Canis lupus familiaris: one gene and its partners. The protein of the gene in region 3 purifies or fractionates together with the protein of the main gene of each other region. This does not show direct contact. Links are inferred from orthologs where the notes say so. Each region holds a gene or a part of one and is shown on either strand. Other genes may lie near its edges. The genes, in order: CAPZB, CNOT11, TNKS1BP1, CNOT10, CNOT6, CNOT6L and FHL2.

Region 1 (3,500 bases), on a different chromosome or scaffold from region 3:
AAATGTAGGACTTTAATTAAAATGCCAGCTCTCTTTGTCTAGGGCTTTCCCACTACCTCGCGATTCATATTTGGGGAATGTCTGGTTGGAACTACAAAGTGAAGCGGGTCCTTGTGTCCATCAGAGTTCAGTTCTTGACGGCAAACTCTTGATAAAGATCCTTACTGCACACCAATTTATTAACTTCAAAACAAAGCCAGTAGGTGTTCTGGAGGCTCCATGTGGTAAAATTCCTCCCTCCCATCCAAATACACCCGGCCCTCACTATCACCAAGCACGGCTGCCATAGGTGCTGGGAGTACAGGCCTGAACAAGGTGAAGTCCCCACCCTGGCAAAGTCTGCATTCTAAGGAGGGGAGACAGACAACAAATAAATCAGTAGACGTGTTAGCAAGAAATTACTGAAATACTTGTAATTCGTGGATTAACCTTTTGATCAGTGGTGCAGCTGAGCCTATTTTATACTGAATCCCGTTATCTTGTAAGCTTTCCTATGTGGGGGGCCGGTGGGGAAGGGGAGACAGCTTGGCTCCAGGCAGAACTGGGGATCAGAACCGGATGCTCAAAGGTCTGTTTTTATGCAGTGCCTGAAGCAGTGTGGTGAATTCAGGTGGGACCCAGTTTGACGTTGCCCTCAAAGAAGCACGTACAGCAGACAATGCTGAGTACAGAGGAGGGAGGGTGGCATGTGGGTGTTCGATGCTAGCGTGTGTGCCCTCCCCCTCGTTGGGCACTGGACTGAATGCCCAATGCAGGTCTTTTGTGATACCCCAAATCACGGTGAATAGGTTTTGCTATCCCCACATTACAGATAAGGAAATCAGGTCTTCATAGAGAAGTGAAAATGACTTGCCCAGGGTCCTAAGGGTGGTAAGTGGTAGAGTCAGGAAGTCACACTTCAGAGCCTGTTTGCTTAGCCTCTGCCACAGTCCAGGATGAATCGGGCCCCAACCATTTCAAATGGGGTTTGAAGCAGAAGTCAGGGCCCAACAGGGAAGCTAAGGCAACACTCAACAGAACAAACGGTGGTGCAAAGGGCTTGTGGTGACCAGCTGCCACATAGGTGCTCAGGACCATCCGCAGGAAAGCAAGCGATTTTCCAATCCCAGCTGCCTTGGATGGAAGCTGTTCCTTGCCTTGGCCAGGACTTCTTTCCAGGCTCTGTGGCCGTTGGTTGTTGAGCAGGGAGGTTATTTGCCGCCTTGGATGGGAGGGGGTTACTTGCTGCCACAGTGTGCCTTTGGCATGCACTGTCCCTGCTCTCAGTTGTCTGTTGAATCAGAGTTAGTCAGAGGGGGAGATTTCAGCCTCCCCTGCTTGCTTCCTGTGTAAGCCTTGGGCAGCTTAAGGACTCTGGTCCTCAACTGTCTAGTCTTTACAGACAGATGTCTGTAATGGGCATGAAGCTGCCTGCTTTACAGGAGGAGAGTGAGCTCTCAAGTGCAGTCTGCCAAGTATATGTAAAGGCCTCGCCTAATCCCTGGTACCTGGCAGACACTTGGATGTGCTAGGGGTTTGATGTGTGTGTGTGTGTGTGTGTGTGTGTTTTAAGATTTTATTTATTTATGCATGAGAGACACACACACAGAGAGAGAGAGAGAGGGGGGCAGAGACACAGGCAGAGGGAGAAGCAGGCTCCATGCCGGAAGCCTGACATGGGACTCAATCCCGGGTCTCCAGGATCAGGCCCTGGGCTGAAGTCGGCGCTAAACTGCTGAGCCACCCGGGCTGCCCGGGGTTTGATATTCTCATCACGAAAACTAACCTTGAAAATAGCCTCATTTGGGGCCCTTAGCTGGCTCAGTCGGTAGCACGTGTGACTCTCGATCTAGGGTTGTAAGTTTGAGCCCCATCTTCAGTGTAGAGATTACTTAAAAAATAAAATCACAAAAGACAGAAATAGCTGTGGGGGGGGGGGGGGTGTGGAGGACACGGGTGGCCGTTGCAGATTGCGCCGGAGGTTAGTGGTGTGGACATCTCTCACAGGCTAGAGGACCGGCAGTGGTCCATGTAGAGGAAACCGATGGTTTCACTGAGGCCAGAGTTTATGCGAGACGAGGTGACCATCTTCCAGTTGTGGCAGCCAGGGCCGTGTGAGCTGCTCCGAAGCACCTGGGGGGCTGGCAGAGGGGCCCAAAGAAAGCAGCCCCCGGAGGCTGGGTGGTCTCCGAGGGGGCGGTCCCCATGTCCTCACCTTCCTGGAGGCGGTCGGGGTCTTCCAGCCGGTGGTCTGCCCCCCCGCCGAGCGGCTCTTCTGGGTATCTTTGCCACATGACTTAACTTTTCCATTTGGAAGGGCTGTTGGTGCAGTTGGCAGCCACCATCCTGGTAAACGATATGGTGGGGCCTCCGTAAACCCAGGGCCATGAAACGAATAAGTCAGCACATTGAAAATATAGCGTGGAAGTGACTCAAGCCCGAAGGAATCCGTTTCTGAAAGTGCTGCCATCCCTTCCTGGAATATTTTGGTGGAAATGGATGTTTGAATTAGGAGGAGGCGGCCTGGTTGCTGGTGGGGCCCTGTGTCCGGTTGGGCAGGATTTGCGCTGGGAATCCGCCCCGCCTGGCCAGGCCCCGGGGCCCTCCTCCTCAGTGACGCGGCTCCGTGTGGGTCCGAGATAAGCCCGCTGGAGCTCGGCTCTGCGCGAAGCTAGTGTGAAGCACCTTTGCAGCAGGTAGGGTTGACTCTGCGAGCCAACCTGGTAATGCTTGGCCAGGGGCCTGGAAAGTATTGGAAACTCCACCCCGCACGGGAGCCGGTGGGAGTTCTCGAGCACGGTCGGGTTATTCTCAGAGTTCTTTGGATTCCTATGTATTTCAAATGTTTACCTTCTTCTCAGGACATGAGCTTGTACTTTGCCCACCAGAGACCAATACCAAGCACATACGTACTTAAACGTACCAGACCACCCTGGCGACCAGGTAATTAAAGCTGCACGCAGATTTGGAAGGAAGGCTGTGTTGGAAATCACGCTCCGCTGTAATTCAAGAACAGGTTTCTTTATGGAGGGACACAGTTGGTGTCAGACACATGTGGAAAAGAAAAGAACAGGCCCATGATTCTGGCAGAGTACCAAGGGCCAGATGTTAAATGTGCTGACCATGATGTGGCTCCGGTTGCCATTAGCCAACCTGGATTCGACGTGTTGTTTTAACCCCTGGCTCTGCCTTTTCCTTCCTTCGCGCCAGGTCCCCAGTCTGTGTGAAGATCTCCTGTCTTCTGTTGACCAGCCCCTGAAAATCGCCAGAGACAAGGTGGTGGGAAAGGATTACCTTTTGTGTGACTACAACAGAGATGGGGACTCGTACAGGTGAGCTGCCAGGCCGGGGCCAGGCGCAGTCCCTGTCGCCTGGGACCACTGAAGTCCGGCCGTCCTTCTGTCTGTCTGTCCTCCCTATCTCCCTCCCCACTTCCCTTCCTCCCATCCTTCCTTCCGTCCAGTCCAGCAGTAGACGTTTGTGGAGTGCCTCCAGTAGAAGCGTTGGAGACTCGGCATGGA
Region 2 (2,762 bases), on a different chromosome or scaffold from region 3:
GTGAAGTATACTTTCAAAAAGCAGGTAACCAGTTTTGCCAGTGACAGAAAGTAAGGTTGAAAAGACCACTCTCCTGTACACATACTTGTGATCACCCAGCTTCCAGCCAGGCGAAGCCAGGCTTTTTCTCACTGGCTGGTAAGCTTAAATGGACATGGTCTTTAGCAAAATTTCAAGAAGGTTTAAAAAAAAAATCCCTGCCTTAAAGTCTGTTGCAAGTTTTTCCCTTCTGGCCAGTTAGCGTCTATATTATACCCCACATACACACACACACACACACACACACACACACACACACACACACACACACATCTGATTGAGTATAAACACTTACCGATTTACAACTTCCATTGAATGCAAGGACATGTCCATGTTGACCAGGACTGAAAAATACTCCGTGATCTGGCTTGACTGCATTAACTTCAGTAGCATTTCTATAGCAACTAGGGGGTTGTTTTCCACTAGGTCAGGAAGTTTGGCTGGAGTCAGGCCAATATGATAAACGAGTTTGGGGTCTTTTTCCAACTCACCCAGGAGCTAAATACAATCAAATTTTTAAAAAAAGAGGTTTTTGAGTCAAAAAAAATTGTCTGCATTGAACCAACTTCATAAATTTCTTCCTTCAAACCCATTATTATAATCATGTCTTGAACTGCAAAGACTATTTACAAATATGCTAATGATCTCTCCTCCTGGGCATTAAGCCAAACTTGGTATTGTCTGGTTGGATATAATGTCTGGATTATATAACAATATCATCCTTAACTCCTTTGTAGACCTTTTCTGTCCTCGGCTAGAACCAAAAAATAATTTAGTTGCCAACCAGCTCTCCAGAAAAGCACACACCACAGAGAACTGAGGAATAGGAGAAACAAGAGTACAGCCCCAGGTGGAGAACAAATGCTTGAGGAGAGAAGCAGGAAGGGAAGAGGGAGAGCTGCCCTGTTGCAGTCCCTCACTTTGCAGGATGATGCAGTTCAGGTCCTACTCAACTATGTAATTCAAATAGTTCTCTTCAAAAACATAAGTGCTTTTTCTTCAAAATTCTCCACACTTCCTCCCTACTGGCAAATACCACAGTGAACTGTTTCAGGAATGGCCTAGCAAACAAAGTGAACTACAAACACTGTAATCACAGGATCAAAAGTGAGATCTATCCTACCCCTCCTCTCCTAGAGTCAAAATCGTTCAAATAAGAGTTGATACATGTTGAATTATCAGTCTTTCCCCACCAGAGTAAAATGACTAGAACTGGAGAAGCAGAACAAAGATTCAGAGATCCAAGACTCCTTGGATGTAAAACCCTTCCTACTGCTGACTTCTGTTGACAGGGTCATTTAATTGGCCACTTAATGTGGAGGACTAAAGATAAGAAATGCTTATAAATAAATACCTGTGTTTGTTGAGGAGACGATAAGGGGCTTTTGAAGGCTTTGGCCATTATTCGCTTGATCTCCACACCAGTGCTATTCTTGACACACATTGATTTGTCCCATTGAATCGTATGGTCAGGCTCTGTTGGATTCAGCCAAGCCAGCTCATCCTCACAAATGTGGAGTGGAGGTGGTGGACGAATAAACTCTGGGCGGAAATGGCCTTTAATGAGAACAGGAATATTTGTTTCATTTAGTAAGCTAACATCTATACACATCTTTATAAAGGTAACATGATAAAACGCTCAAGACTTCAAAATCCAAGGCAGAGATGATTTAGAAATTCAGGGTTTTATTCAGAATACCAACAAAACGAAATATCAATAGAACATCATTATGCTAGACAGCAAATCTATTTTTCAAGAGAGAAAGGCACTACCATGATCTGGCAATTTTTAATTAAAGCATGATCACCACTCAGAAGCAAAGGATACAACTTCACATACTGGTAAAAGTTCTTATGGGAAAAATGAAATGCTATTTGATTCTGTTCATCCTACTCTTGGTTACCATTATTTTTATTCAGAGACCACTATTATTTGTAACTTTTTTCTTTGCATTTCATGAAATGGCAGGAAACAGAAAAGTATAGCTGCCTTTTGACATTTTCAAATGAATCCAGAGACTTTCATAAATCCCCTAATTCAAAAATCCTGTACTCCTGTTCATAAAACTATACAAGAAAATGCAGTGACTCAATACTTCAACTATTTTCTGAAACAGCATTGATTCCTAAGTTTAAAAACCCACTAAAATAAATACTGGCTGGGATTTTTATACCTCATTTTGGTTTCCACACAGGGCCCTAAGGTGGCCTATTCCAATCATGGATCCTAGCCCATGCCAAATTTGAGACTAGTTTATTGAGGTTTTCTAGCTAAGAATCATCAGTTTATCTTGAAATATCCTCTCTCTCATTTTTATCACCAGGACTAGCATCTCAATCTCTTTTCAGAGTATTTATAAAAAGATAAAAATTTTGACATTTTATGAGAAGTACTACTACTGTGATAAAGGAAACATTTCCGTGAAGTACAGATGCCTCATGTTAGCTAGATTCAGTATCTAATTGATTGGGGTTTTCACATACCTTTCTGGTGGCTCATGCAACAAAAGTTGTGCTTAAACAAATGTTAAATAAAAATCAGCATGTGCCATGGGCTTTCAGGCATACCTGTGACTGGATGAGACCTCAGTTATTAAGCCCATTTATGCCAAAGATGTGTTAATGGCATTAAAGTCATGTAAGTTTAAAATTCATGGTAACACTGTAATTTGGAGAACATTTTCCTTATTCTTAAGCATAAAGCATGCCTTCATCATTAAAAC
Region 3 (3,500 bases):
ATTTCAGGGGGTGGCAGCTGGCCCACACACCAGCTCCTTGTGTGAGGTATGTGAGTAAGCGTGTGTGCTGAGCCGGGTGTGTCTGTCGTGTTTTGAGGGAGCGGCGGGCCGAAGATGCACAGGCCGTATTGAGGTGCAAGGTGATCTAGCCTGTCAGTGGATGGCGAACATTTGCTAAATCCTCCTCCTGGCTGGGCCGAGCCCAGGTACCAGGGTCACAAAGGCCAAAGGGGCCGCCTTTGCCCTTGAGTGGTTCCCAGATGGGCTCTGAGGCAGGGGCTGGTGCAGGTGGGGGCCCCAGGCTCGCAGGGCTCAGGAAGGGGGGCTGTGGCTGGGGGTGGAGAGGGGCCAGCCTCAGAAGAGGAATGGACCCGTGACCGGGAGAGGAGCGCAGGGCAGTGGGGGAGCCTTCCAGGCCAGGGAACAGCTTGTGCACATACACCGCAGTCTGCAAAGACGGTGATGTGTTTGGGGGAGTCCCTGGACGTTCTGTGAGGCTGGGGTGCAGGGAGGGATGCTGCAGGGGCCAGTGCCTGGCTCGTCCCAGGGAGAGTGACCACCCAAGCAGCTGCCCCTATGAGGAGCACATGGACAGCAGTAATGATTGTGGTCAGTGCTGGGGACACGCTGGGTGCCAGGCACTGTGCTTTGTGCTGTGGTTCCCATTTCAGTCCCCAGCAACTCTTGGGAGTTAGAGGGTCCTGAGGCCTTGATGGGTGGAGGGACCTGTCCACAGCCTCAGTAAGTGGCGGACCTGGGATTTGAACCAGGCTGCCCACCTTGCCCGCTCTGTGCTGTACTGTTTGAGGCCCCGACCGTGTCCTTTCGGAAGGAAGGTGTCTGGGAAAGCATGGAGAGGCAGGAGAGGGAGAGCCTGTTGGAGGGGGGCACAATACTGGGAAGTGGGCTTTGGGGGAGGAAGATGGGGCCTCATGGGTGACCTTGTCCTCTGGTCTGTCTCCTTTGCAGTCCTGCCGGCTGCCCGGCCCGCTCCCCGCCCTCTGGCTCCCAGAGCCTGCTGGAGGACATGCTGGCCACCAGCAACTCCAGGGCGGCAGCCCGCAAGGGGTCAGCAGCCTCGGGCCCCAGGGGCCTGTTGGAGGAGGACGGAGCCACAGTGGGTGCCGACACAGGGGAGCCCCTCGAGCCTAGCGGGGCCCCTCTGCTTTCCTGGAGGCCGCAGCCTGATGGTGAGGCCAGCCAGACGGAAGAGGTGGACGGCACCTGGAGCCCTTCAGGGGTCGGGCAGGGCGCCCAGGGCCCCACACGGCCCCCTCGGCGGCCCCCTCAGGGCCCTCCGCCCCGCTCTCCCAGTCAGGACTTCTCCTTCATTGAGGTCAGTGCAGGGTGAGCCCAGGGCAGTGGTTGGGCTGTCGGGGGGCACATGGGCGATGTGGCCCGAGGCTGGTCCCTAGGGCTTCCCTGAGTGGCGTCAGCCCCCGGGGAGGGGGGGCAGGAGGCGGGCAGTGGGTGACCCTCTGAACGGGGCGCTGTAGGCTGCTGGAGGGATGCGCTGTTGAGGGTTCCCGTGGGACCGCAATGGCAGTGGTGTTGCTGTTGTCCCGACCAGGACACCGAGATCCTCGACAGCGCCATGTACCGGAGCCGAGCCAACCTGGGGCGCAAGCGTGGGCACCGGGCCCCGGCCATTCGGCCCGGGGGCACCCTGGGCCTCTCGGAGGCAGCCGACTCGGACGCACGCCTGTTCCAGGACTCTACGGGTAGGCCCCTGTCTGGTGGGGTGACGTCTGGGTCTGCGTGGGGGCGGTGCTCCGGGCTCGCCGTCGCGCTGAACCCCCGCTCTGGGCCCTTGCAGAGCCACGGGCTTCTCGGGTGCCATCCTCAGACGAGGAGGTGGTGGAGGAGCCTCAGAACCGCCGGACACGGATGTCCCTGGGCACCAAGGGGCTGAAAGTCAACCTGTTTCCTGGCCTGAGCCCGTCAGCCCTGAAGGTAGTGTCTTAATCGGCCAGCGCATCCAGCCCCTCCGGCCCCTAGCCCCCGAGTGCCTGCCTGGGGTTTCTTCTGTCCGTCCATCCATCCGTCCTTCCCTCCCTCCCATTCTCCTGTCTTCTGCTCCCCCTGAGGGCCCTGTTGGGTCCCGAGTGGGATGGGAGGAAGAACAAGGCATTCCTTCCCGTCCCAGAGTCCCAGAACCTCACAAGGCGAGGAGGACACACGCCCTGTCTCCTGTTAGCTCTGGTGAAGGGCCGAGCTGCAGGTGTGGGGTTGGGGATGTACAGATAAGGGCTGGGCCTCTTCTGGGGGTGGGGGCGGAGGGTCGGGGTGAGGTGTGACTTCTTCTGACCCACCGACCTGCCTGCTGGATGGGAGGGTGTATGGGGAAGGGCTCGTGGAAGTGCCGGATCTTAGCTTGAGGCGTGTGTAGAGCTGGCTGTGGAGGGCAGGGTGATGGGGAGGAGTTCGAGGTTCCCGAGGCAGAGGGAACCCGATGAACGGAGGCACAGGGCTCGGGAGGCACTGCCGGCTTCGCTTCATCCAGCCCAATTGTCTGGATTCAGTGGAGCAGAACCTTCACGAGGACCTTCCGTGCAGGGTGTGGCTCAGGCGACTTCCCGTCCCTCTGGGTTGAAGGACTGCAAAGGGGTCTGTGCCTAATTCTGGGGACGGCTCCTAAGAGAAGGCCTTGCCCTCTGAATCACCCTGCTCCTTCCTCTGACATCTGTCTGCACTTGGGCTCATCTCACAGGCCAAGCTGCGCCCCCGGAACCGCTCAGCTGAGGAGGGGGAGTCTGCGGAGAACAAGCCAAGCCAGAAGGAGTCCGCGGTGCAGCGTTCCAAGTCTTGCAAGGTCCCCGGGCTGGGGAAGCCCCTTGCGTTACCTCCCAAGCCAGAGAAATCCTCAGGGTAGGTGACCTCAACTGGCCTCGCTGGGTGGGCCAGAATTAACCGTGTTTATGTCCTAAGGTTTGCCTAATGACCTTTGCCCTGTGCCATCTAGGTCAGAAGGATCATCACCCAACTGGCTACAAGCCCTGAAGCTGAAGAAGAAGAAGGTCTGAGAAGTCCTCGAGGTAAGTGTGGGTTCCTGGGCTTGGCAAGACCTGCACGGGAGGGTTCAGGAGGCCCCCTGCCTTCTTCTAGGCCTTTCTGTCCCTCTTCTCTGTGAGCCTGGCAGCAGCCCAGGGGAGCCTAGCTCTAGGACCTGGTGGGTCCCTTGGTTCCCCTTAGATTTTGCCCACAGAATCCAGTGTTGTCCGGCCTGGGATGATGGGGAGGAGGGCTGCATCCTGGCTTCCTCTCTGGGCTCAAGGATGGTCCCCACGGGCCCCCAACCCCGTGCCCCAACCCTTCCTCCCTGGGCTCAAGGATGGTCCCCACGGGCCCCCAACCCCGTGGCTGGCCCAAGTGGGGTCAGCCTGCCCTTCTGGTATTTATTAGGCTCAAGGGCCCCAGGTGGGACCCTCCTCACCACGAGGCTCAGCTGGGGGAGCCAGGATGGGCAAGGGACAGGAAGCCAGAGCTGAAGTGGCTCCTCT
Region 4 (3,500 bases), on a different chromosome or scaffold from region 3:
CAAACATACATGCCTCAAATTATTTACTTCTTCCAACGATTTATCACATTCTTTATCATTCATAACTATTAGTAAATATACATGATAATAAAATCTCTCTTAGAGTGTATGCTACCTGATGTATCTTTGATTTTGCAGCTTCTATTAGGGCTCCACTTTCAGCTTTATGATTAAATCCGTCTTTGTTGGTGTTATTACCAGTCTGTAGTGGTAAAACAAAGTTAACCAAAATTAAATATATATATATTTTTACCATTAAATATATATATTTTTTACCATAATTTAAATCAGTAATTTCCAAGGAAGCTAATCTGAATCATCTAGAAAGCATTTTCGAACTACAGAATCCCAGGTCTCACTCTCAGAGATTCAGGTATAATAGTCTGGAATGGGTAACAGGAAACTTACTTTGTTTTGTTTTGTTTGGAGGAAACTACTTTTGAGAAGCTCCCATTGAATATAATGATACGCCAGGTTTAAAAAGCATGGATCGTACTCAGGCAAAACTCAAGATTATCTTTCTGAAACCCAGAACGGATCATGTTCCCTTTTTTGTCTTTTTTAACCTTTTGAAGTCCACGTTTTTCTTTTTTAAAGATTTGTATTTATGTATTTGAGAGAGAGAGAGAGAGAGAGAGAGAGAGAGAGAGAAAAGAGTGGGCTAGGGTCAGAGGGAGAGGAAGAAGCAGATTCTCCACTGAGCAGGGAGCCTGACACAGGCGAGGCTCAACCCAGGACCCTGGGATAATGACCTGAGCTGAAGATAGACACTTAACTGAGCCACCCAGGCGCCCCATGTCAGTCCCTTCTTAAAAACTTTCTCTGGTATAAACACTACCAACATCATATGCTGGATTCCTAGTTATCCTTCGCAATGTCTCTTAGCCACTTTCAAGTATGTAATCCTATGGTATTATTAACAATATTGACCATTTTGTATAGTGAATTATATTTCAATAAAGCTGTTAAAATATTTAATAACCCCAAATATTAACCATAAACTTTAATCTGATCACCTCAGAACACTTACCTCATTTTTTCCATTTTTGTTATTGTTACCCTGTGATATCATTTTTTCTAGGACAGCAAGAAGATGCAAAGCTTTCTCAGCTTGATAGGTTAATATATAAAGGTCTACAAGCAAAAAACACACCGCCTGGGCAAATTTTTCTTCTGGGGGGAAAGAAACAGGAAAAGAAAAGTTATAATCCAAAGTGAAGCAAACATACCAGACCACTCCTCCCCAAAAAGTTCTAAAGAGCAAAGACTAAGTTTTGTTTATGTTTTTTAAGATTTTACTTATTTATTTGAGAGACAGAGAGAGAGGGAGAGCATAAGCCGGGGAAGAGGTAGATGGAGAGAGGCAGACTCCCCACTGAACAGGAGCCTGGTTTGGTACGGTGCTCTATCCCAGGGCCCTGGGATCATGACCTGTGCCAAAGGCTTAACTCACTGAGCCACTCAGGCGCCCCCTAAGAAAAATGGATTTGAATTCTAGGGGATCCCTGGGTGGCTCAGTGGTTTAGCTCCCATGTCGGGCTCCCGGTGCATGGAGCCTGCTTCTCCCTCTGCCTATGTCTCTGCCTCTCTCTCTCTCTCTCTCTGTGACTATCATAAAAAAAAAAAATAAAAATAAAAAAATTGAATTCTATCTAGTTGGTTGCTATATTCTTTTTTTTTTTTTAATTTTTTATTTTTTTTTTATGATAGTCACAGAGAGAGAGAGAGGCAGAGACACAGGCAGAGGGAGAAGCAGGCTCCATGCACCGGGAGCCTGATGTGGGATTCGATCCTGGGTCTCCAGGATCGCGCCCTGGGCCAAAGGCAGGCGCTAAACCGCTGCGCCACCCAGGGATCCCTAGTTGGTTGCTATATTCTATACTCAGCCACAATATAGATTAATAGGATTTGATGAATTGTTTCAGAAATCCTAAAGACCAGCTTTGTAGGGGGACCCAGCTGGCTCAGTTGGTAGAGTATGTGACTTTGATCTCAGGGTCATAAATTCAAGCCCCTCTTAGGCGTAGAGATTACTTTAAAAACAAAAAAACCAACAAAACCCCCAGCTATATAGAAAAACACATCTGTGTCATCCTAGAAGTAGAATTCTGATTTCTAGCTTCATAGAGAAAGGTCACAATTTATACCATCTTCACCACTGGTATTTCTCCTGCCCAATCTGCCCAGCCACCACACCCACAGTACAGAAGAGGAGTATCTTAAAAATGCCTCCCTAGATCCATAGTAAGCAGCTGTTCAACCAGTTGACAGCAAAGGCGATCCTGTAACTCTTCTAAAGCCCCACAGAGGTGCCATCACACTCTACCTCTTCTCCTGTGGGGACTGATCAGCAATCAGGTATTTATAAATCAGGAACTGGCATTAGTGTTTTAAATGCAAAAGAAAGTAATGTAAGAAAAAGACAAAAATGTGAATCACAACTGAAATCTGACTGATTGTGAGTTGAAAACAAACAGCCCTAACAACCATTTCCTGAGTCAGGCTTTGCTACTTTATTTGCTCCCTCTTTGTTCCTTTGCCTTCACCTTTCTTATTATACTTACTCAAGGCTAGTAACTGCAAGCTAATTAAGATATAAAAAAATGCTAAGATAGTCTGTACTATCTATTCTATAATTCTATAATTACCCACAAAAATGTCAGTGAGGCAATGGACAAAAAAAAAAAAAAAATTGTCCCTTAATATCTCCGAATACTTCTTAATATATTGCCCAAGTAACAAGATTGGGTACACTAGGTAGTGTAAAAAGAGCAAACAAAAATCACTAAATCTTTCCAATCAGAAACATCATTTTTTTAAAGATTTTATTTATTTATTTACAAGAGATAGAGAGAGAGGCAGAGTCATAGGCAGAGGAAGAAGCAGGCTCCATGCAGAGAGCCCGATGTGAGACTCGATCCTGGGACTCTGGGATCATGCCCTGAGCCAAAGGCAGTCACTCAACTGCTGAGCCACCCAGGCATCCCAAGAGACATCATTTCTAACAGTTGTTTTTAAAAATAGAGTGAGGAGGAAATGCTGAAAGAAAACCTAGGTTCATCTAAAAGTAATGTCATTTTTATCTTTTCTATTAAGAAAATCTGACATAGCTTTTTTCTTTTTTCATAAATAGTAACAAGTAATTCCCTGATTTAGGTTAATTAGGTAAAAGTACCAGAGGCCATTGCAAGTATGAGAAGATACAGAATTCTTTTTTTATAGTGGGAGAGGGGCAGAGGAAGAGATAGAATCCCAAGCAGGTTCCATGCCCACCCAACTTAGGCTTGATCTCACAACTCTGAGATCAAGACCTGGGCTGAGATCAAGAGTCAGGCTCAGTCAGACTTAACTGACTGAGCCACCCAGGTCCCCTGAAAATAGGGAAATTTTCAACGGAAAAATTTTGACAGAACATACCAAAAGGTTCTATGAACTGGTAAAGCTTTTCACCAACTGCTATCGCTTCTGTGTACTGCCGCAGATGATAAAGAATGACTGCC
Region 5 (3,500 bases), on a different chromosome or scaffold from region 3:
AAAGTAGAATAACTATTTGCAGAGCCCATCTAGCTGGTAGCATTCTCTTCCATTGTTGGTAATATGTATAACACCACATTTAATCATAATCTTGGTATTTCATACCAAGTAAATAATTCAACATAGGTAGAAACCTAGATACTAAGATGTTGATTATGGAGTTAATTCTTTTTAAAAAGTAAAACCACAGGAATTTTTTAAAAAATAAGGAACTACTATAACAACTATGAAACACCACAGCAAAGTATAAAATATTCAGTATACTAGGATCAAAACCGTGTAAAAATAGATTTAGATAAGTTCTGGGAAATGTGGGAAAAAAAAAAAAAAAAACAGACCAAAAAACAAGACATTTTAGAAAGGGGGACTGTGTGGCACAAAGTATTTACTATTATATTTTTTTAGTTTTGTACACTGCATATTATACTTGACAGTTTTCAAAATACCTGTGTTTTCATTATAGGTGTTGTAGAATATTTGAGCACTGGTGGAGTAGAAACAAATCATAAAGACTTTAAAGAACTGAGATACAATGAAAGTCTTACAAATTTCAGCTGTAATGGGAAAAACGGGACAACCAATGGAAGGATCACTCATGGTTTCAAGTTAAAGAGTGCCTATGAGAGTGGCCTGATGCCTTACACAAATTACACGTTCGATTTCAAGGTGACTTGAGATTGAGAAACTTTTCAAACCTCCATTTTTTGGAGAGTCTTGTAACTTTATTATGTCTTTGAAATGTTGATGTGTGTTCAGACTAGAAGTAAACCATGTTGAATTAGTTGACAGCAGTATTCTCTTATTATTCTTCTGTGGAATTCTGTGTGATTGGTGTCCCATTCCTACTTGGTAGGTACCTATTAGAGTCAGGGTAAGAAATCAGATGAAATAATGATAATAAATCCTGAGTTTAACTGTCACTGTTTGGGGACAATTATGTTATAATAATGTTCATTACTTAACAGCTATTCAGAAAGTACCATAGTATCTAATTTGGTGTCCATTGGAGTGACATATTTCATCTCTCATATTTTAACTGAAACTACTCTTTGAGTGCCAAAATGTGGTTTATATTAGCCATTTAATAATATAATTTATATTTATTTATATGCCTTCACACACAGTTAATTAAGCTTACAATGTAGAGCCTTGCCTTAGTGCTTCTCCTCATTTTTAATATCATTGGTTGCTTAGGACTTGCATTCATCTGTTCTTTTTAACCATTTTTTGCATTTCTGCTCTTAAATCTTAGTTTTCCATTTCTAAACTCCTGGGAAAATCATCATTCAGGTTAGATTGTGTGTTAGAGTGTTAAATACTACTGTTAACTGGTTCTTAATTTTGCTGTTAAGGGCTTTTAGACTTCTTTGAGAAACTGTGGAAGAACTTGAAACTTTTTTTATTGGACTTTGGAGGAGCCATAGTACTGTAGATAATTTAACCCTTAGATAATTTAACAGATAAGTGCGTGGAGGTGAAGAGAGGCTGGAGCAGACTCTGGGGAAAATGAACAATAAATGACAGAAGAGTAACCAGAGGGAGGAGGAGATCCAGGACAGTGTAGGAGCCTAACTGCCAAGACAAGAAGGCCTTTTCTAGGGAAAAAGAAGCATTATGTAAGCTTCAAAGAGCTGTTGGTGAGGGAGGCTTCACTGGAGGGGTAGGCAAGAAGACTAGAATGTGGCGAAGTGAAGGATATTACTGGGCAATGAGGTAGTAAAAACCAACTTTGAGATTCTTATTTGAAGCAGAGTGATTGAAAAAGAGGGGAGGAGTGATGATGACCAAATGGTGGGAGACATTAGGGATTTTGTTTTCTTTCTGTTCCTGTTGCTGATAACAGAAATAAAAGGAAGATACTCGAATGTGCTTAAATATTTTTAGCTGAAAGCATGTCTAGGAGAGGCTGAAGTTTTACAAGGAGGAGAGGGGCAAACTGAGAGGTGGTCAGCTGGGTGCCCAATGCTGGGCCTGGGTGCTGCTGGGAACAGACAGGGCAAGATGTCCCGGCCCTTGTGGAGCTCACAGTCTGGTGGGAGAGACCCGTCTCCACAGTACAAGTGAATGTGTAGTTATACCTTGGGGAGTGCATGAGCAAGAAAAGAGACTTAGAGGTGCTGGCAAGTAGTGAGTGCATGAGGGCAAGATTCAGGAAGGACTTTTGAAAGTGTTTGAACTCCACATGAAGGCTGAGAAGAAATTAGCCAAATGACACATAGAAGAAAGTGTTCCAGACAGAGGGCACAGCGTGTGTGGATGCCTTGGGGCAGGATGGAGCTTGATACCTACAAGGAATGTCCTTCTCCCCACCCTAAAAAAATGGCTAGCATGCTAATAGGGTAGTAAGCATGGGAAAATAGTACAAATCAAGTTAGGAAAGAAGCCAGGGGGTTTCTGGGTGGCTCAGTTTAATGTCTGCCTTTGGCTCAGGTCATGAATCCCAGGGTCCTGGGATGGAGGGAGTTCCCTGCTCAACGGGGAGACTGCTTCTCCCTTTCCTCTTCTCACTCGTTCTCTTTCTCTCTCTCTCTCTCCGTCACTGCCTCTCTCTTTCAAATAAATAAAATCTTTTAAAAGAGAGAGATGCCGAGGCCATACCATGAAGGACTTGTAGGTCTCATTAAAGATTGTGAAAAGGCGGGGATCCCTGGGTGGCGCAGCGGTTTAGCGCCTGCCTTTGGCCCAGGGCGCGATCCTGGAGATCCGGGATCGAGTCCCACATCAGGCTCCCGGTGCATGGAGCCTGCTTCTCCCTCTGCCTATGTCTCTGCCTCTTTCTCTCTCTGTGTGACTATCATAAATTAAAAAAAAAAAAAAAAGATTGTGAAAAGGTGCAGAAAAGAGGAAGAATGAATGATAATCATCCCTAAACTGTCTTCATTCTGCTGGATTTGACACCTGGGGGACCGTTTGGTTTGTGTAGTACCTCTTCCCATGTGCTAATCACTTTCTCTGTTTACCCAAGATGACTGCAGGGTATGTCTTGAGAGCTCTCGTGTTTCAGTATTATCTTATATAAACCCTCATCTTTTTTTCCTTCTGTTTTTCAGGGTATAATTGACTACATCTTCTATTCTAAACCTCAGCTGAACACTTTAGGCATCCTAGGACCTCTGGACCACCATTGGCTAGTTGAGAATAATATCAGCGGCTGCCCACACCCACTCATCCCCTCCGACCACTTCTCACTTTTTGCACAACTGGAGCTCTTACTGCCTTTCCTGCCCCAAGTTAATGGCATTCACCTTCCTGGCAGGAGGTAGTCAAGTACCTTCAGAGGACGACCTCAATTTCACTTTTAAACTCAAAATCTGAATATAGGGGAGTGAGGTATGGCCACCAGGGTTGTCATTTTTTTTTCTTTTTTTTCCTTTTCCTTGATGATTTGAATTTTCAATCTTGATTATTTGATAAGGATATAGTATGAAAGCCAGGTGCTAGCAACAGACAAATTCTGAGCCCAATATGCTTTATATACTGTTAGACAGGGATTGGTGTGT
Region 6 (4,246 bases), on a different chromosome or scaffold from region 3:
GTCTTTTTTTTTTAAGCTTACCATTGCTGATATAAATAAAAATAAGGCCTAATTTGGAAACCTGGCTTTAGTAAATGGACATACTACAAACTTAACCCAATGAAACTCCTCACATTCTCTTCATCCTGCCTTCACCAAAATAATTTTTAAAAAGATAGAAAAGAAAAAAAAATCCTTCTTTAACCTTTCCATTGCCTTTACCTTAAACTCTGTATCATCATTTTTTTTTCTCCACCACAATTAAAAATAAATGAACAGCACATTCACTACTCCACAGAGAGTAATAAAAATGGAAAACTATTCAAAGTTGATTGAGGATTTTTCCCTAAACCATCCAAGAATGTATTCCAAGAAGTTTTTGTTTACCAAATCAGTCAACATGAACTCAAAGAATTACATAGCAATTTTTTGGCACTTATGCTTTATGAATCTGTTAAAGTAATCTAAACTCTCGTTTCTTGATCCATTTTAATGCTTGATTGTATTGGAATGTATATGTGCTATATACAGTACAATTTTTTCCAGGACTACATAGCCAGAATCATAAAAGTAGTAAAACTGAGAGATGGCCTATTCAAAAATACAGAGGAAAAAAAGTATGACTAGACAGTCTCTATAAACTAATATACTAGGCCACTTTAATGACAGTCTTATTTCTAGGAAAGACATAAAAAACATTAAAAGTTTATATATACCTTATATATTATCAAAGGACTCTGAAATGTTCTACTGCCTTGATTTTTAACCTACAATTACACAATATTGCTCTCAGTTATCAAATGGGTATTTGTCCTTACACATGTTTTTCAATGCCCACAATCAGGGCTGCGGGAGGAATATTTAACTAAGCCTCTACTATGTGCCAAACATGTTTTTTCATTCCACCCTCAGGACAACCTTACTATAAAGGTATCTCCTCGTTACAAATGGAAAAAAAAAAAAAAAAAAAAAACAGAGACTTACAGACATTCGGTAACTTGCTAAGGTCAAACAGCTAAGAAAAATGGCACAGCCAGAGTTCTGAGGTAAAACAAGTCCTTTTTCCACTCAACTACACATGTTGTTTTTCCAGCAGTGGTCCCAGAAAACAGCTCTCCACTCCTATTCTTCCCTCCACTCTTGTTCCCAGTGCACGGCCTGGAACATTTGTGAGACCAGTTTTAGAAACAGGGCTACCCGGCCATCATACAGAGCATGGTCTGCAAGGATCAAATCTGTATCAGGACTTCATCCACAGGGTCTCAGCTAGATGAGCTTACGAAATGCAAACGGAAGGAGGGCGGAGTAAAGCAAATAAATCATTCAAATACCATTTATATTTGGGTCTACAACGCACTGCACACCTATTGGCAGATTTATCTTCATAGTTCCGCTTTGCTTAGACCACTCTCAAAAATAGCTTCCCCGGAGCACACACACACCCTGGGTAGACAACATAAAGGCTCCTTGACCTAGGTTTTGGAGATTGTGCATGAGACGTGTTTGTTTGTACGTGACTATCCTGATCGGCAATATAGATAAGTAGAAGCAGTAAGGCAGTAAAATGTAATACTGTGCTTCCAACGTGTACAAACGGCTCAGCTAAACTCCCTGAACACAATCCATCTCAACAGCCTAAGATAACTAGGCCGAGTTAGGGACGATGACAGCTACAGTAACTTCCTCTTCCTCACCAACCTCCTCAGTTCCGCGTGTGCACGCCTTTCCCCTAGGAGGCAGGATAAAACGATTTCAAACGCACAAAATCGATCCAATGCCACCAACACCGCAGGACAGGAAAGCCAGCTTCCATTTCTTCCCTCGCGTCTCGGGGGGGGAAAAAAAAAAAAATTTATCTTAAAAATCGCACTCATGTCCCCCACGAGAAAATATGTGCGACGAAAACTGAAAACGTGTACACAGTCCGTCCACCGGGCCTTCGCGGAGGGACGGGGCGAAGGGATCTCCATCCGCAGCCAGTGTTCCCGAGATTCACCGCTCTGAGTCTCTTTCCCTCGGGTCCCGCCGCCCGGAGGGGCAGAGCCTGCAGCTCCAGAGCCAAAATAAGCCTTCGCCTCTCTCCTCAGCAGACGCGGAGGCGGCCGAGGCGACGGCGGTGCGCGCGTCCCGCCTCCGACCCTCCTCACCTGCCCAGGCCCGAGGCAGCGCCCCGGGTGCTCGCGGGCCGGGGCGTCCGGGAGGCGTCCGGGAGGCGTCCGGGAGGCGTCCGGGAGGCGGGCGGGCGGGCGCCGAGGCGGTTAGGCCGCGCTGCAGGCCGGCGCGCTTCCTGCCGGGCCCGGGAGCAGCGGCGCGGCCCCGACCCGCAGCTCAGCCGGCCTGGGCTGCCGCGCGCGGGCGGCGCACACACTCGCGTCCCCGGTCCGGCCCGGCCCGGTCGGGGCCCGCCGCGGCCGAGCAGCTTCACCCGCGCGGCGCCCACAGAGGGGGGAGGGGAACGGGGGGGCGGGGGAGGGGCGCCCCTCGGGGGTCCCGGACACACGGAACCCGCCCCGCACCCCGGGGCCGCCAGCGCCGGCCCCACACACGCCCACTGGCCCCGGGTCCCCGGGCCGCCTCCCCGCCCGCCACAGCCTCACCTCGCACAGCCTCACGCACGCTCGTCGCTCTCCCACCTCACCTCCCGGGGACGCTTCCGTGTCCCCCACATCGACCCTCCTCCGAGGCGCAGACACTCTACCTCATTCTCTTCCTCCGGCCCAGGCGGAGCAACAGCAGCCATTTCCCCGCGGCAGGGGAGACACGGCGGCGCGCGCGCCCGGCCCCACAGATGCTTCCCTCCGGGCCGCGGCCGCAGACGCAAACACAAACACCCACGGGCGGGCCTCGCTCCCGCCCGCCCCGCCGCGCCGCGCCGCGCAGCGCCGCCGCCGCCACCGGCAGGGCCCGCGCCCCCCCTCACCTGCATTCAGCGCGCCGGGGTCCGGGCGGCGGCGGCGGCGGCGGCGGCGGGGCGGCTGCTGCTGGTGCTGGGGCTGCGGCGGCGGGGGAGGCGGCGGCGGCGGTGGCGGCGGGGCTGAGGGCAGCAAAGACATGCAGGCAGCCCGCCGGGGGGAGAGGCACCGGCCGGAGGGGACGCGGGGCGGGCGGGCCGGGCCGGGCCGCCTGAGGGACGGCAGGGGCGGCGGCGGAGAGGGCGGCCGACGGGAGCGGGCAGGCGGGCGGGGGGCGGGGGGCGGGACGGTGACCCCGGGCGCCCAGGAGAGGCCCCGCGGCCGCGGCCCCCGACGCGACGGCCCAGCGCCGCAGCGAGCTCCCTCCCACGCCGCGGCTGCTACTCCGAGGGCGGCGCGGAGCCCGGCCTTGGCCTTGGCCTCCGGGCGCCGGGGCTGCTGCCGCCGCGGGGCTTGCTGCTGCGCCTGCCGCTGCCGGGCCCGAGGCTGCCGCCGCCGCCGCTCGGGGACGCCAGGCTCCGGTGCCTTCGGTGCCTTCGCTCCCGCTCCCACGTTCACAACCCCGAGGGCCGGGGAGAGGCGTCCGCGCGAGGTCGGAATTGGGATTAATAACAAGGTGCGGAGAGTGCGAGGAGGAGGAGGAGGAGGAGGAGGAGGAGGAGGAGGAGGAGGAGGGTTGATTGACGTGGAGGGGCTGGCGGCGCTCAGACACTCCCCTGCGCGAGCGCGAGCGGGAGCGCGAGCGGGAGGGGGAGGGGAGAGGAGGGAGGGAGGGAGGGAGGGGAGGGGAGGGGCGGGGCGGGGAGGGGGCGGAGCTCCAGCGCCGCGCCTCGGCCCCGCCCCCCGGTCCCCGGTCCCCGGTCCCGCCGCGGGCCGTGGCGCGCCTGCGCGCGTGGCTGCCAGGGCGCTCACCCGTCTTCTCCTTTGCCCTTATCGCTTTTTTACTCTCTTTTCTTGGCTCGAGCGGCCGGCGGAGCTGGGGGGACTGGCGGGGCGTCACACGTCCACGTCCACAGAGCCATGCTGCGGAGGAGGCCGGCGAACCCTCCTCACCCGGTGTTCCTGCCGGACGCGGCGCCGTTTGCCGCTCGCAGGCCTGAGGCGGCCTGAGCGGGAAGCGCTGCTCGGGAGCTAACGAGACGTCAGGTGAGGGGAGGTGAGGTGAGGGGAGGGGAGGTGAGGTGAGGTGAAGTGACGGAAGGAGAAGGTTTCCTGACATCTCCGATGGGGCGTTTTTGTTGGTTGGTTGGTTGGTTGGTTGGTTGGTTGGTTGGTTCAACGCAAAACACCTGGAAGTTGTGTCGCGAAAGGTAAACTGAGGAACCTCTGACGCTCCGCCATCATCCCCGTCCTAC
Region 7 (3,974 bases), on a different chromosome or scaffold from region 3:
CTATGTTATTAAATATTCTTCTATGACATTTCCAAAGGTTGCAGTGTTTCCTTCATGGCTATACTATTCCTCATTTTACCAGTCTCGGTTGTTAGTCATTTTGGTTGTTTCCAACTTTCCCCAATTATTAAAAAACCTGCAAGAAATGTCCCTGGAGCTGTATCTCTGCTGACATCCACGATCCTTTCCTTAGGATAAATTCCCAGATGTGGAATGTCTGTCATATGGCAGACAGCTGCTGCCAAACAGCTGACCTCAGTTGTCCTTCACCTGACCCCAGCCATGGCTGAAAAGCCTCCCAGAATTAAGAAATTTAGGGGTGAATCAGGAATTATTGCTACCCCAGATTAGTCCTCTCTGACCTCTTCTAGCATATGGTTTTTTTAAAAGCCCTGGGTGGCTCAGTGGTTGGGTGCCTTTGGCTCAGGGCATGATCCTGGGATCCCAGACTGAGTCCCACATTGGGCTCCCTGCAGGGAGCCTGCTTCTCCCTCTGCTTGTGTCTCTGCCTCTCTTTCTGTGTCTCTCATGAATAAATAAATAAAATCTTAAAAAATAAAAATAAAAAAGCTCCATAAGATTTCTGCATTAGCTCTATAAAGAAAATGATTTGTGGCCCAAGAATCCCCCCAATCATGCATGAGTGGGGGGTGGGAATGGGGAGAGAGGGCCTTTATAAGGAGACTGCATTCCCGGCCTCCCACGTGCCCAGCATGAAGCCGATCCCTTAGAATCTCCCCTAGAATCTTTTTCACCCAAACCAATACCCCTGAAGCCAGGGAAGAGGGTCCGTGTGCTCCTAGCAAGAGGCAGCGCTGACAACCCACAGCACACCCCAGGGCACTGTGTGGCCTGGATGACTTTCCTCCCCCTTCTGTACCACAGCGCCGGCCCTGATCTCGGGGTGGGGGGGTCTCCCAGCATCCGAGCCCCTGCAGCCCCCCAGGGACTCCACCACTTGTCTGACCAAGCGAGATCCCTCCCAGCGCTCGGCTTTCCCCTCTCACTCCTCCTTGGGTTGCTGGACTGTGTGCAAGGCCCAGGGTGTCCTTGAGGTGGGCAGGCCAAATGGGGAGCTGGCACCCCTTCCCATCTGGGGGCCGAGGCTCCTTTAATTTGGATACCTTAAAAGGCTCGCGGGAGCGAGGGGCTGGGTTCTTATCTCTGGGCTCTGGACAGCACCTTATTTATAGCCCTGCTGACACGAGGCGGCAGCTGGCCAGCAGCTGCACACACAGTTGCAGGAGCAGCCCACGAGCGTGGGCCCTGCCTCCCCACTGGCCCCTGGGCTCGCCGAGGGCAGACGACAGGACAGGTAAGCTTCCTCCTCCCCGGGGCCCCTTCCTTCCCTGTGCCCTGTGTCCTCCCAGGCTTCGCTGCCAGCTGTGCGGCCTCCTGCCCCGGGAGGGAGCTCTCTGGCACTGTGCACCTGCAGACCCCAAACCCAGCCCCAGTGGCCTGGCAGCGGGCCCCCGCCTGCAGCCAGCTCCTGCCCGGGGCTGCGGGGCTGTGGGGAAGGAACAGAACCTGGCCCTGGCCGCTGCTCCAAACCCACGGCAGGTGCCTCCGGGAGTAGAAAGAACACGGAGGGAACCCTCCGTTCATCTTACCCTCTCAGACGGGGAAACAGGAACTACACGGAGTTTTGAACACCAGGAAGCTTTTTGTAAAAGAAAAAAGAAAAAAAAAAAAAGTATAAAATAAACATTGGGAGGGGGGAAACCACAGTGCCCTGGAGCTTTTTCTCCTTGACAGAATTTCCGGATGGCCTGGGGTGAGGAGGCAAATTACTGAGGAGTCTGATTAGGCTGGGAAAGTATGTTTATACAAGATGACTTGTTACGGCTGACGGTTCCAAAGTACAGATAGCTGTTGTGTGCTTAAAGGAAATGCATTCACATTTTACTAATTTACTAATTTCTAGAGCAGGATGTGAGCAAATGCACAGTATTGAGTAATGCTTGGGCCAATTGTGTAATAATGTTAACACTGATAAGATGGCATATTCTGATAATAGGTGTCATACATGTTAACATCCTCTAGTCATACTCCATGCAAGGCACCTTATCAGGTCTAATCCAATAAAAAGAGATATTACCAGGCCATTTTTTAAAAATAATTCTGAGGTCAAAAGATAGTATTAACACTTGCGTTATTGGCTGATGTTATTTTATCATGGACTTGCTCTATATAGGTTTGTTCTGGTTTTATTTTATTTATTTGTTTCTTGAGGAATGCTATTTGAATTTTGTTTTATTGCTAGGTTTATAACATGATGTGCTGTAATCAAACCTATTACATTTTGAGATCCATCCAATCTTAGGAGAGTTTTTGTCTTTAAAGCAGTAGCCAGCTACTCAACTCACACAATTACATTTTCGAGGCCTTTTCTGATATTAAGAAAATGCTTCAATGTATAACCTTCATGAAGAGTTGCATAGTTTCCCCTAAAATATTCCCTGACTGCTCACTCAATCTTGCCTGTTTTTGAATGCATTTTGCACTATTAGATTTCTTCATCCCACTTAGTGCTTCTGGAGTTCTCCATTGGTTCCAGATCCTGAGGCTAGGCCACGTCATATTTCTCTCTGTAATCTGATAGCTCTTAACACAGGGACCTACATAGTCTACTGGTGTCTAAAATACTTCAGATTTAAAATAGATGGCCAAGAAACTGAGTTTAAATTGTCCTCTCCCCACCGTCAAAAAAAATTTTTTTCAACCAAATAAATTATAAAGATCTTATTGGTTTTACTCAATGATTCATCAATTGGGCAGTATCCCACCCAGCAGACAGAAAAGGGCTGTGCAGTGTGTACAAAACTGAAGACCTTTACAGACAGAAGGGAACAGGAACTAGGAAGGTACATGGGACAAAAAAAGTGGACTGTTTATTCCAACATTACTTTCCTTTAGAGGATGACAGGGCTCTATCAGGCAGATGACCTAACTAATGCTCATCAGGTGAGTTCTGACTGCTTTAAAATTCCATTACTGGAAGAGGCCAAAATTGTACTTAGGTTAGGTGTGTTTGGTGACGTGGAGCTTAATATAAGTGACTCCATTTGGGGCCTGTTGTCCTGTTTTTAACACCACCAAAGAAAGAGGTGAAATTATATTCATAGTGTTTATATTTTCTTTCATTGTATCTTACTGTACAAATATATGCCAGAAAATACAGACCAGCAGAGAGAAGAAAATGAAAAATTATGTGTGGTCTTACTACATTTATTGTTTATCCTATTTCTTGATTCTAAGAAGTCTTTGATTTTGAGATGAGCCACTAATTTAACACTAGCTTTACAAGAGAGGGAAGGAAAGAACGCCTGGGTGGCTCAGTGGTTGAGCGTCTGCCTTTGGCTCATGGTGTGATCCCAGAATCCCAAGTCCCACATTGGGCTCCTTGCATGGAGCCTGCTTCTACCTCTGCCTGTATCCCTGCCTCTCTCTCTGTGTCTCTCATGAATAAATAAAATAAAAAAAAAAAAAGGTGGGGGGGGGAAATTCTCACTATATACCACTCCACATTGATGTATTTTAGGATGCATCTGAAAACAATAAATTATATGGAGAACTATAACTTCTAATTAAGAAAAAAATATATCATCAGGTCATTTGGTAATCTGCTTTTTGTTAAATTTATGATCAATGTCCTTTCACCAAGCATTCAAACTTTATTTCTTTGAAATTAGTTATCTTTATATGACATTGTGATTTCTTTCATTTAGCCAGAATATTCAAATACTTATAATGATGGGGAATTAGAATGATGGAAACTTAAAAAAAAAACATAAATTAAGCTTTAGATAAGCAATTTTATCAGGATATAACTAGTTGGGTTTTTTAAGATTTTATTTATTTATTCATGAGAGACAGAGAGGCAGAGACACAGGCAGAGGGAGAAGCAGGCTCCCTGCAGGAGCTAATGAGCAATATGCTAATTTCTACACTACTAATGCAACCCACTGAATAGT

What was found.
Region 1: the proteins of TNKS1BP1 (region 3) and CAPZB purify together in Homo sapiens (co-immunoprecipitation; 5 studies listed by BioGRID and IntAct, with this or other methods). This does not show direct contact. The link is inferred for Canis lupus familiaris from reciprocal best matches to the Homo sapiens genes TNKS1BP1 and CAPZB.
Region 2: the proteins of TNKS1BP1 (region 3) and CNOT11 purify together in Homo sapiens (affinity purification with mass spectrometry; 5 studies listed by BioGRID and IntAct, counting the BioPlex papers as one, with this or other methods). This does not show direct contact. The link is inferred for Canis lupus familiaris from reciprocal best matches to the Homo sapiens genes TNKS1BP1 and CNOT11.
Region 4: the proteins of TNKS1BP1 (region 3) and CNOT10 purify together in Homo sapiens (affinity purification with mass spectrometry; 4 studies listed by BioGRID and IntAct, with this or other methods). This does not show direct contact. The link is inferred for Canis lupus familiaris from reciprocal best matches to the Homo sapiens genes TNKS1BP1 and CNOT10.
Region 5: the proteins of TNKS1BP1 (region 3) and CNOT6 purify together in Homo sapiens (affinity purification with mass spectrometry; 3 studies listed by BioGRID and IntAct, with this or other methods). This does not show direct contact. The link is inferred for Canis lupus familiaris from reciprocal best matches to the Homo sapiens genes TNKS1BP1 and CNOT6.
Region 6: the proteins of TNKS1BP1 (region 3) and CNOT6L purify together in Homo sapiens (affinity purification with mass spectrometry; 4 studies listed by BioGRID and IntAct, with this or other methods). This does not show direct contact. The link is inferred for Canis lupus familiaris from reciprocal best matches to the Homo sapiens genes TNKS1BP1 and CNOT6L.
Region 7: the proteins of TNKS1BP1 (region 3) and FHL2 purify together in Homo sapiens (affinity purification with mass spectrometry; 3 studies listed by BioGRID and IntAct, with this or other methods). This does not show direct contact. The link is inferred for Canis lupus familiaris from reciprocal best matches to the Homo sapiens genes TNKS1BP1 and FHL2.

What each region holds. Positions count from the first base shown.
Region 1 is NC_049223.1:78,732,647-78,736,146, forward strand, and holds part of CAPZB (F-actin-capping protein subunit beta), read left to right. Parts: exon of another isoform or gene 1-16; intron 17-3,189; coding exon 3,190-3,311; intron 3,312-3,500. UniProt on the Homo sapiens protein: F-actin-capping proteins bind in a Ca(2+)-independent manner to the fast growing ends of actin filaments (barbed end) thereby blocking the exchange of subunits at these ends.
Region 2 is NC_049231.1:42,709,913-42,712,674, forward strand, and holds part of CNOT11 (CCR4-NOT transcription complex subunit 11), read right to left. Parts: intron 1,597-2,762; coding exon 1,394-1,596; intron 538-1,393; coding exon 335-537; intron 1-334. UniProt on the Homo sapiens protein: Component of the CCR4-NOT complex which is one of the major cellular mRNA deadenylases and is linked to various cellular processes including bulk mRNA degradation, miRNA-mediated repression, translational repression during translational initiation and general transcription regulation.
Region 3 is NC_049239.1:39,301,867-39,305,366, forward strand, and holds part of TNKS1BP1 (182 kDa tankyrase-1-binding protein), read left to right. Parts: intron 1-969; coding exon 970-1,336; intron 1,337-1,570; coding exon 1,571-1,721; intron 1,722-1,816; coding exon 1,817-1,953; intron 1,954-2,710; coding exon 2,711-2,868; intron 2,869-2,962; coding exon 2,963-3,023; 3' UTR 3,024-3,035; intron 3,036-3,500.
Region 4 is NC_049244.1:4,229,022-4,232,521, forward strand, and holds part of CNOT10 (CCR4-NOT transcription complex subunit 10), read right to left. Parts: coding exon 3,418-3,500; intron 1,174-3,417; coding exon 1,031-1,173; intron 203-1,030; coding exon 116-202; intron 1-115. UniProt on the Homo sapiens protein: Component of the CCR4-NOT complex which is one of the major cellular mRNA deadenylases and is linked to various cellular processes including bulk mRNA degradation, miRNA-mediated repression, translational repression during translational initiation and general transcription regulation.
Region 5 is NC_049232.1:1,473,355-1,476,854, reverse strand, and holds part of CNOT6 (CCR4-NOT transcription complex subunit 6), read left to right. Parts: intron 1-463; coding exon 464-666; intron 667-3,050; coding exon 3,051-3,263; 3' UTR 3,264-3,500. UniProt on the Homo sapiens protein: Poly(A) nuclease with 3'-5' RNase activity.
Region 6 is NC_049253.1:37,892,126-37,896,371, reverse strand, and holds the start of CNOT6L (CCR4-NOT transcription complex subunit 6-like), read right to left. Parts: upstream 2,801-4,246; 5' UTR 2,683-2,800; coding exon 2,678-2,682; intron 2,637-2,677; exon of another isoform or gene 2,618-2,636; intron 2,605-2,617; exon of another isoform or gene 2,577-2,604; intron 1,700-2,576; exon of another isoform or gene 1,678-1,699; intron 1-1,677. UniProt on the Homo sapiens protein: Has 3'-5' poly(A) exoribonuclease activity for synthetic poly(A) RNA substrate.
Region 7 is NC_049231.1:39,049,603-39,053,576, forward strand, and holds the start of FHL2 (four and a half LIM domains protein 2), read left to right. Parts: upstream 1-1,174; 5' UTR 1,175-1,315; intron 1,316-1,610; exon of another isoform or gene 1,611-2,705; intron 2,706-3,974. UniProt on the Homo sapiens protein: May function as a molecular transmitter linking various signaling pathways to transcriptional regulation. Negatively regulates the transcriptional repressor E4F1 and may function in cell growth.